2 linked regions of the Schizosaccharomyces pombe genome follow. The protein of the gene in region 1 binds, or shares a complex with, the protein of each later gene. Each region holds a gene or a part of one and is shown in the gene's direction. Other genes may lie near its edges.

Evidence for each region. The genes of interacting proteins can lie anywhere in the genome.
Region 2: the proteins of cbs2 (region 1) and amk2 are in contact, whole or in part, in a crystal structure (PDB 2QR1), measured with the Schizosaccharomyces pombe proteins. Residues at the interface, in NP_001342925.1 of Schizosaccharomyces pombe: Tyr25 (codon at 2,090), Asp26 (codon at 2,093), Val27 (codon at 2,096), Leu28 (codon at 2,099), Pro29 (codon at 2,102), Thr30 (codon at 2,105), Ser31 (codon at 2,108), Phe32 (codon at 2,111), Arg33 (codon at 2,114), Leu34 (codon at 2,117), Ile35 (codon at 2,120), Val36 (codon at 2,123), Phe37 (codon at 2,126), Asp38 (codon at 2,129), Thr40 (codon at 2,135), Leu41 (codon at 2,138), Thr45 (codon at 2,150), Ser48 (codon at 2,159), Leu49 (codon at 2,162), Leu52 (codon at 2,171), Asn53 (codon at 2,174), Asn54 (codon at 2,177), Ile55 (codon at 2,234), Trp61 (codon at 2,252), Ser63 (codon at 2,258), Arg101 (codon at 2,372), His123 (codon at 2,438), Pro124 (codon at 2,441), Met125 (codon at 2,444), Asp147 (codon at 2,510); in NP_588485.1 of Schizosaccharomyces pombe: Leu241 (codon at 2,909), Glu249 (codon at 2,933), Asp250 (codon at 2,936), Gln251 (codon at 2,939), Ser252 (codon at 2,942), Val253 (codon at 2,945), Leu254 (codon at 2,948), Pro255 (codon at 2,951), Asn256 (codon at 2,954), Pro257 (codon at 2,957), Leu272 (codon at 3,002), Val274 (codon at 3,008), Thr281 (codon at 3,029), Tyr283 (codon at 3,035), His284 (codon at 3,038), Arg285 (codon at 3,041), Lys286 (codon at 3,044), Tyr287 (codon at 3,095), Val288 (codon at 3,098), Thr289 (codon at 3,101), Thr290 (codon at 3,104), Ala291 (codon at 3,107), Met292 (codon at 3,110), Phe293 (codon at 3,113), Lys294 (codon at 3,116), Asn295 (codon at 3,119).

The regions. Positions count from the first base shown.
Region 1 is NC_003424.3:3,806,624-3,810,624, reverse strand, and holds cbs2 (protein kinase activator), read left to right. Parts: upstream 1-1,922; 5' UTR 1,923-1,954; coding exon 1,955-1,990; intron 1,991-2,053; coding exon 2,054-2,177; exon of another isoform or gene 2,178-2,231; coding exon 2,232-2,590; intron 2,591-2,637; coding exon 2,638-2,794; intron 2,795-2,849; coding exon 2,850-3,178; 3' UTR 3,179-3,493; downstream 3,494-4,001. Other genes in the region: tma19 (translationally-controlled tumor protein), read left to right, coding at 591-1,097; phosphomannomutase Pmm1, read right to left, coding at 3,776-4,001.
Region 2 is NC_003421.2:2,206,985-2,210,868, reverse strand, and holds amk2 (serine/threonine protein kinase AMPK (beta) regulatory subunit Amk2), read left to right. Parts: upstream 1-1,841; 5' UTR 1,842-1,869; coding exon 1,870-1,894; exon of another isoform or gene 1,895-1,947; coding exon 1,948-2,208; exon of another isoform or gene 2,209-2,378; coding exon 2,379-2,481; intron 2,482-2,577; coding exon 2,578-3,046; intron 3,047-3,094; coding exon 3,095-3,133; 3' UTR 3,134-3,384; downstream 3,385-3,884. Other genes in the region: pbn1 (GPI synthesis protein pig-X), read right to left, coding at 3,399-3,884. UniProt on the Schizosaccharomyces pombe protein: Beta subunit of AMP-activated protein kinase (AMPK), which is required for transcriptional, metabolic, and developmental adaptations in response to glucose limitation.

The DNA.
Region 1 (4,001 bases):
AACGTTAAGGAATTATTATCAACTATAATGCACTACTTTTTTAGGTTTCTTCTGAAGCTCAGTACTGTTGAGAATGTTCTAATTACGACTCAAGAATTGACGGATAATAGCTCGAATAATAAATTTGAGGCGACATAAATGGTTACAAGTTGATTAAAGAACATAGAGATTAATACACATACTGTTAAATATGGTTCAATTGTTGAATTCATTTGGACTTTAATTCCAGCTTTAATCTTAATTTTACACGCATCATAATGGTTTCACTCAAAAAATCAGATTCAGTAATATAAAACAATTTACTACTGACTGAGTACAACGATATTTTCATCTAAAAAAAAATCTGAAAATATAAAGAATATTGTTATTTAAAAGAAAGGAGAACAGACTACGACAAATTGAAAAAAATGAAGGAATTGGTAAACAAAATGTATCTATCGAAAACAACGCTGTACTACGTAAAGTGAATACTGTTCGTAACCGCATTCCATACGGATGGCTAGAATCCAGTAACCCTGCCCTAAACTGTGACTGCTTTATCTCATTAAACCTGCGAGAAGTCAAATTATGAGCTACCATCTGCAATCACCATGTTGTTGTACAAGGACGTTATTTCTGGAGACGAACTCGTTTCTGACGCCTACGACTTGAAGGAGGTAGACGATATTGTCTACGAGGCTGATTGCCAAATGGTCACTGTCAAGCAAGGTGGTGATGTTGACATTGGTGCCAACCCTTCTGCCGAGGATGCTGAGGAGAATGCTGAAGAGGGTACTGAGACTGTAAACAATCTTGTTTACTCTTTCCGTTTAAGCCCTACTTCTTTTGACAAGAAGTCCTATATGTCTTACATCAAGGGTTACATGAAGGCTATCAAGGCTCGTCTTCAAGAAAGCAACCCCGAGCGTGTTCCTGTTTTCGAGAAGAATGCCATTGGATTCGTCAAGAAGATTTTGGCTAACTTCAAGGACTACGACTTTTACATTGGTGAGAGCATGGATCCCGACGCAATGGTTGTCTTAATGAACTACCGTGAGGATGGTATTACTCCCTACATGATCTTCTTCAAGGACGGTCTTGTTTCTGAGAAGTTCTAAATGCAAATTTGGGTTCTTATAAGGGAGTTTCTAACTGGGAACATGATATCATGTCTAAATTTTATAGTTTTGTGAATTAGTTTTCACAAAATTTCATTAGGATTAGAACAGGGGTTTTTGTTCTGATAATAATTAATTATGCTAGCTTATAATCATGTTCAAATTGAAATTAGTGTTTTTTTATCGATTTTGTATTTGGTTGAATGGAAGATTGAGGTATCGATGTTTTAAAACGTGTGTGCTAAAATTCATGAATCTATTTATATATTAACAGGCCGAAATAATTTAGTAAGTAAGGATATGGTTTGAAATTTGGTATTTTACCATTAATTTAGTGTATTTTTTTGCTTTTTATCGAAGTTGATAATTCAAGTCCTTTACGAGGAATAGCCAAACTTTTGTTATGGCGACACTAGACGACCCGGTAGCCATTGAAACTTTGTTACAGTCGAAACTATAGTTTACTGTTAGTACTAAAGATTTGGGAAATTTTTGCTCGACGATGTTATTTTTGTAGCGGACGACTATTGGATTAAATTTATGCTTAATTGTTAAGCCTTTTAATCAATCTTATCATTGAGTTAATAGACTAGTTGCATTTAATTTTGTCAATGTATATTGTTACGTTTAAATAGTAAACTATATAAGCAGTTTAAATCAACGAGTTTAGCTACAATATTCCCCTAAGTGAAATATATCATTTAAAAGCACTAACAAATACGCATAATTTAGGCATTGTACTATTTGCAACTAATTACTTAACACCTCGATTTGTTGCCCTTGTGCGGGTTACCATTCCCCTCGCTCATTTATCTAGTCTCTTTTACCAACCACACCATATATCCTTTGACGAGGTCATGACAGACGTTCAAGAGACCCAAAAAGGAGCACTCGTAAGTGATATGGAATAGATTTTTTATTAAATAGAAATAATTATTAATCTATGTGATGTACAGAAAGAAATTCAAGCATTTATACGCTCGCGTACAAGTTACGATGTTTTGCCTACGTCCTTCCGTTTAATCGTGTTCGATGTTACGCTTTTTGTAAAAACATCACTTTCTCTTCTTACATTAAACAGTACGAAAGATTTTTCATTACAGATGTGAAATCAACTTATTAATCACGTCTTAGATATCGTCAGTGCTCCTTTATGGGACAGTGAAGCGAATAAGTTTGCGGGCCTTTTAACGATGGCGGATTTCGTCAATGTTATTAAGTATTATTACCAAAGCTCTTCATTTCCCGAGGCTATAGCTGAGATTGACAAATTTCGATTGTTGGGACTTCGTGAAGTGGAAAGAAAGATTGGCGCCATTCCTCCGGAAACTATATATGTTCATCCAATGCATAGTCTTATGGATGCTTGCTTAGCCATGTCAAAGAGCCGTGCTAGAAGAATTCCTTTAATTGACGTAGATGGCGAGACAGGCAGCGAAATGATTGTATCTGTTTTGACACAATATCGAATTTTGAAATTTATCTCCATGAATGTTCGTAAATCGTGTTATGTTTTTATATTTACTAATTTCAAATTTAGTGCAAAGAAACCGCAATGCTACGGGTACCATTAAACCAAATGACAATTGGGACATGGTCAAATTTAGCTACCGCGTCTATGGAAACGAAAGTCTATGATGTTATTAAAATGCTTGCCGAAAAGAATATATCTGCCGTCCCAATCGTTAATTCTGAAGGTTTGTGAGATGTTTTGAATTTTTTCTGTGAATAATTTATATATTAACTGAGCAGGTACCCTGCTAAATGTCTATGAATCGGTGGATGTAATGCATCTTATACAAGATGGTGATTATAGTAATTTAGACTTGAGCGTAGGCGAGGCTTTATTGAAAAGACCAGCTAACTTTGATGGCGTCCACACTTGTCGAGCTACTGATCGTTTGGATGGTATTTTTGATGCTATTAAGCATTCCAGGGTTCATCGTCTTTTCGTGGTTGATGAAAACTTGAAGCTCGAAGGTATTTTATCTTTGGCTGATATTTTAAATTACATAATATACGATAAAACGACTACGCCCGGCGTTCCCGAACAAACTGATAATTTTGAATCTGCCGTATAATTTGATTCTCGTGCGCTTCAGCCTGAATGCATTCATAATCTGTTGAAAACATTGCCAAGTCTCATGATATTTGAAGTTAAACCGTTGAGTTGTTTCTTTTTTTTTGCATGGCAGCTCGAGGTGGTATCTAATTCAGTGTACTCGAATGAGGCTTCTTTTATTTCAAAAAGTATTAATTCGGTTATTACAACTTCTGTCTATATAATATGATGTGACTTGTACCATTATGCTAATGCCTATCTAATTAAATAACTAACACATGCCTTTCATTAGCTACTAAGTTCGCATTTTTCTAGGAATGCATCAATTAACCGATCGTAAGTGTAATTTTCTTGTAAATATTCTTTCATATATGCATATTGTTCAGGTATGAGTATTAAAAGCTGCGTTGGCAGTAGATTACAATAATTTAATGTTCTTCGCATTCCATGCTACCAATAATTATGGAAGATGTACGAGTTAAATGACAGATCAATTGTGTGCAAGAAACTTCACACTCGCCGAGCATATGAAGTAGTTATTTACAACTAAGAAAGCTAACCTTTTCCGTAATGATAAGAGAGGGACGCATATCTAATCAACACACTACAAACTCATCTATATGTTAAAAATTTTCTTGAGTTCAGCAATGGTATCGTCAGGATTAGTAACAGAATGTCCGATAGTACGAGGGTCGACAAAAATTTCATAATCATTGCCGCCTTTGTATGTCTTGTCTCCAAAAAAGTGAATTGTATCAAATCCCTCTTTCTCTACGTGTTGCAAGCAATATGTCTTATCCCAACCAGCAGGGAACACATCAAAAGAGATTTGACCTCCAATG
Region 2 (3,884 bases), on another chromosome or scaffold:
ATTAAGATCAATATTATCTGAATACTATAAATAGAGCTACTGCTGAACCTCGTTCCTCAGTTCAGTTATGAGCTATATTAGTGATAGGTAACATTATAACCCAGTTAATACAATACCTATACTCAGTTGCTACTTATACAACCTGTGTATTGTAATATAATAGATCACAAGGAAAACTCACCGTAGTTCTACGTATCCTTAAATCAGATACCAAACTGCGTAGCGTACATACCAATTCTAAATACTACTATTCCTACAATACATTAATGTCAGCTTATATAAAATACACTACGATACACTATAACATATGCTCTAATATTCTATTTGCTCTATTTACTTACAAGATAAGTTATCAAGAAGATTATAATAGTGTTCAATAATAAAAAGATGTTATTTTATTACATAGTTTTTTCAATGCTTTAAATTAAGACAAACTGAACCTCGTTCCTCAGTTCAGTTATTAGCTAAATCGGTCACCAATACTAGTAGACTTATAACAATAAATATAATATTGTTAGTGAAGCATACCCATACCGTTATCTTGTAGCCCGCAAAAGAAACTCATCGCATTTTAGTGTATCGCTAAACAAATACCAAACTACGTAGCAAACAATAAATCGCGTAGGTTATTCATTAAAAGCCTCTAGGATATGTATGGGTATAATTTGTATATTTAAACGGTCTATTTCAAATCCTTCCTCGTGTTCGTGGCTTTAAAACAGCATAAAAAGATTACCACTGAAATCAAAATTTCGTTTGAGTTAGGTGAACGGAAAGAGTACTCTAACAGCATATTCAACCATATGTACTTCAATTCATGACATTTTTGTAATGGAACATATCATATCAAAAAACAATACTTCATACTTTATTGTATCATTAAACCAATACTGAGCTGCGTACTAACAACATATAAGTTTTCACTACTTTGCTTCGTTATAGATTATAAAGTGAAGGATTCATCGCAACAAAAATTCACGTTTGGTTTGGTAAAGTCGTCATTTAACTAAAAAATAATATATTCTTCGTTTCATATGGAATGTATTTAATCAGTACGTTCATTGAAAACACTGTTCTTGTTTTTGCAATGCAGTGATTTTAGTTCGCTTATTTCGCAGCATAATAAGTAGACATGAAAAATTGACGGAAATAGAGCATTTGATATCTAGAAATTCAGGCTTTTTTTAAGTTCGTAACTTAATTTGAGTGATTTCGTCTGAGAAATAGAAGCGTCTTTTTTACGAAAGAAGTTTTTGCGCCATACTTATATATTGTTATACTAGAACGTAGTTAAAAAAGATGAAGCTATACGAGCGTAATGTACAAGGTATTCATTAATTTATAAACATATAATATGCAGGCCTTTCGGTTATGGAAGTTTAACTCAATTAAAGCCTCGCTAAGTTACAATAATTATAAGTGAACCGCTTTTAGTGTATAATTAACTTGAAGGCCTCTCAATGCACAGAGTAGTTTAAAATTTTTCTATATCGTTTCATATGTAGCTTCAATAATTTTTTAAACATTTCCATTAAGAATGAGAAGCATGCTGCTTTTTACCTTCAAAAGATTATACATAGCTGTTGTAGAACTGTATTATACGTCCCAAATGCAATATTAAATTTTTCAGCTTTTATCATACAGCTTTTAGATATTTATTCTTTATAATAAATGGATTTTCAATTAATGTTTTCTTTGATAAAGCTGCAAAACAGTACGAAGCGTTTAACTGTGAATAACGCTGCACTTTAGCTTCCACTATTTAATGATAGCTTAGATACAATAAATAACCTTATTTCATGCTCGTTGGGGTTTAGTTCAAAGTGATGAGCTACAAAGCCAGAACAAACTACTTTACATCATTTCAAAATGGGAAATGTTCAATCTCAGGAGGGTAATGTCCTTTAAGTTAAACACATGTGAAATAAGTATCTAATTTAATGTTAGGAGAGACTCGCGCACATGCTGTCCCTTCTCAAGATGCCACAACAACGCCTGACAATGCAAATAACGTTCCAAAAGAACCACGTGCCCAAAGCATGATTAGTATTGCTGCAGATGATTTGAATCAAGAAGGTGAAATGTCGGATGATAATCAGCAGGAAGGCGGTAATAATCGTACTTCCCAAAACGGAACTTCAGGATCGAGTGGTCATACGAAACGCCGTTCTCAAACTTCAGGCAAGAAGACACATCAGCCTTATTCTGGTAAGTTTCTTTAAGACCGGTTTATTTGATTGCTTGACATCCTTATGTAACAAGGGTGATTTACCGTAACATTGCATTATCATTTAAGCTGTTGACCTTAACGTTTGTTTGCAATAGTTTTCAGAAAGGAGATTTTTTGCAATTGACAATTTAATTACTTACACATATAGGTCCTTGTGTGCCAACCATTATTCGATGGAGAGGAGGCGGTGAAGTTGTTTATGTCACTGGATCGTTTTCTCGTTGGAAGAAAAAAATCCAATTACTGAAAAGGTATGAGTTTTTCATGGTGTGCTTTTTTCTATATTTGAGCCTCCCTTTATAGGTTGTTTATCCTGTTTTAAGCTTGCTAACTTTTTCGCCAAATAGCGAAGATTACACTGTCCTTTTGCAATTACGTCCTGGAACTCAGCGTTTTAAATTCTTGGTTGATGGTATATGGTGCTGTTCTTCAGATTTTCCAACTGCCACCGATGCGGAAGGCAACCTTTACAACTACCTCGAGGTGGAAGCTAATGAGAAGTTAGGCGCTAGTATTGATGAAAGATTGAGTCAAGTTCATACGGACCTTCCGATGGAGGAAAAGTCTGAATCTGAGCAATATTCTACGGAGATACCAGCTTTTCTTACTAGCAACACCCTTCAAGAGTTGAAGTTGCCAAAGCCCCCTTCTCTACCTCCTCATCTTGAGAAGTGTATCCTTAACTCAAATACTGCCTATAAGGAGGATCAGTCTGTCTTGCCAAATCCTAATCACGTCCTTTTAAACCATTTAGCAGCTGCAAATACCCAGTTAGGCGTTCTCGCTTTAAGTGCTACTACGCGCTATCATCGAAAGGTAAGTCGGTTCCTTATACGCGTTGCTTGACTAACTTTGTTTCCCCAGTATGTCACTACTGCTATGTTTAAAAATTTTGATGTCTAGCCATACCGCATCTGTCGAATTTATTGTTTATATTTCGCGACGTATATAATCACTTTAATGATAAATTTATTTTTTTAAATTTCTCAAACATCCCATCATTATACTTCATTTGATTGGTTTATTTGCACGATTTTGTTTCGAGAAAACTTTACGCTGTGATATCAAGCACAAAGCAACCAGTTCATATTTCACTATGTAGCGATCCATAGGTTAATTAATTTTTATAAATACATATCTAGTTACTTCACTTCACGATGTTATTCTCTTAATCCTTTGCGTAACGGAACCTTTTCCACAAATATAGCAATAGGTAGAAGAACGAAAAAATCGCGACTCCATTAGTCACCCATTCTACGACATGTTTATAGGATAAATCGGCTATTGGAATAGATATGCTTAAGGTTGTTGGATCGTTTTGTAAGGTATATTTGTTCTTACTGGAAAACAGAAATCTGAAATCATTTACTTTGTCTTCAGTGTCACAATTCCAGAAAAACTTGGGATTTGTTAATGATGTTTTTAAGTATGTTTGTCCTTTGAGAGGGCTTTGATAACGTGTGTGTAAGGGAATGATAGTGTCTATATAGTCTTTTTGCAACAAACCATCGTCCGTATATATGTCAAACCAGAAAAAAGACCCAGTACCATTTAATTTGTAACTAGGTGCTTCCAAGTCGGTCTCACCCCAAATTCCTAAAACATGCCCTAAATTGTCGGCATGCATTTCCGCAATATTAGATAGCTCGTACCT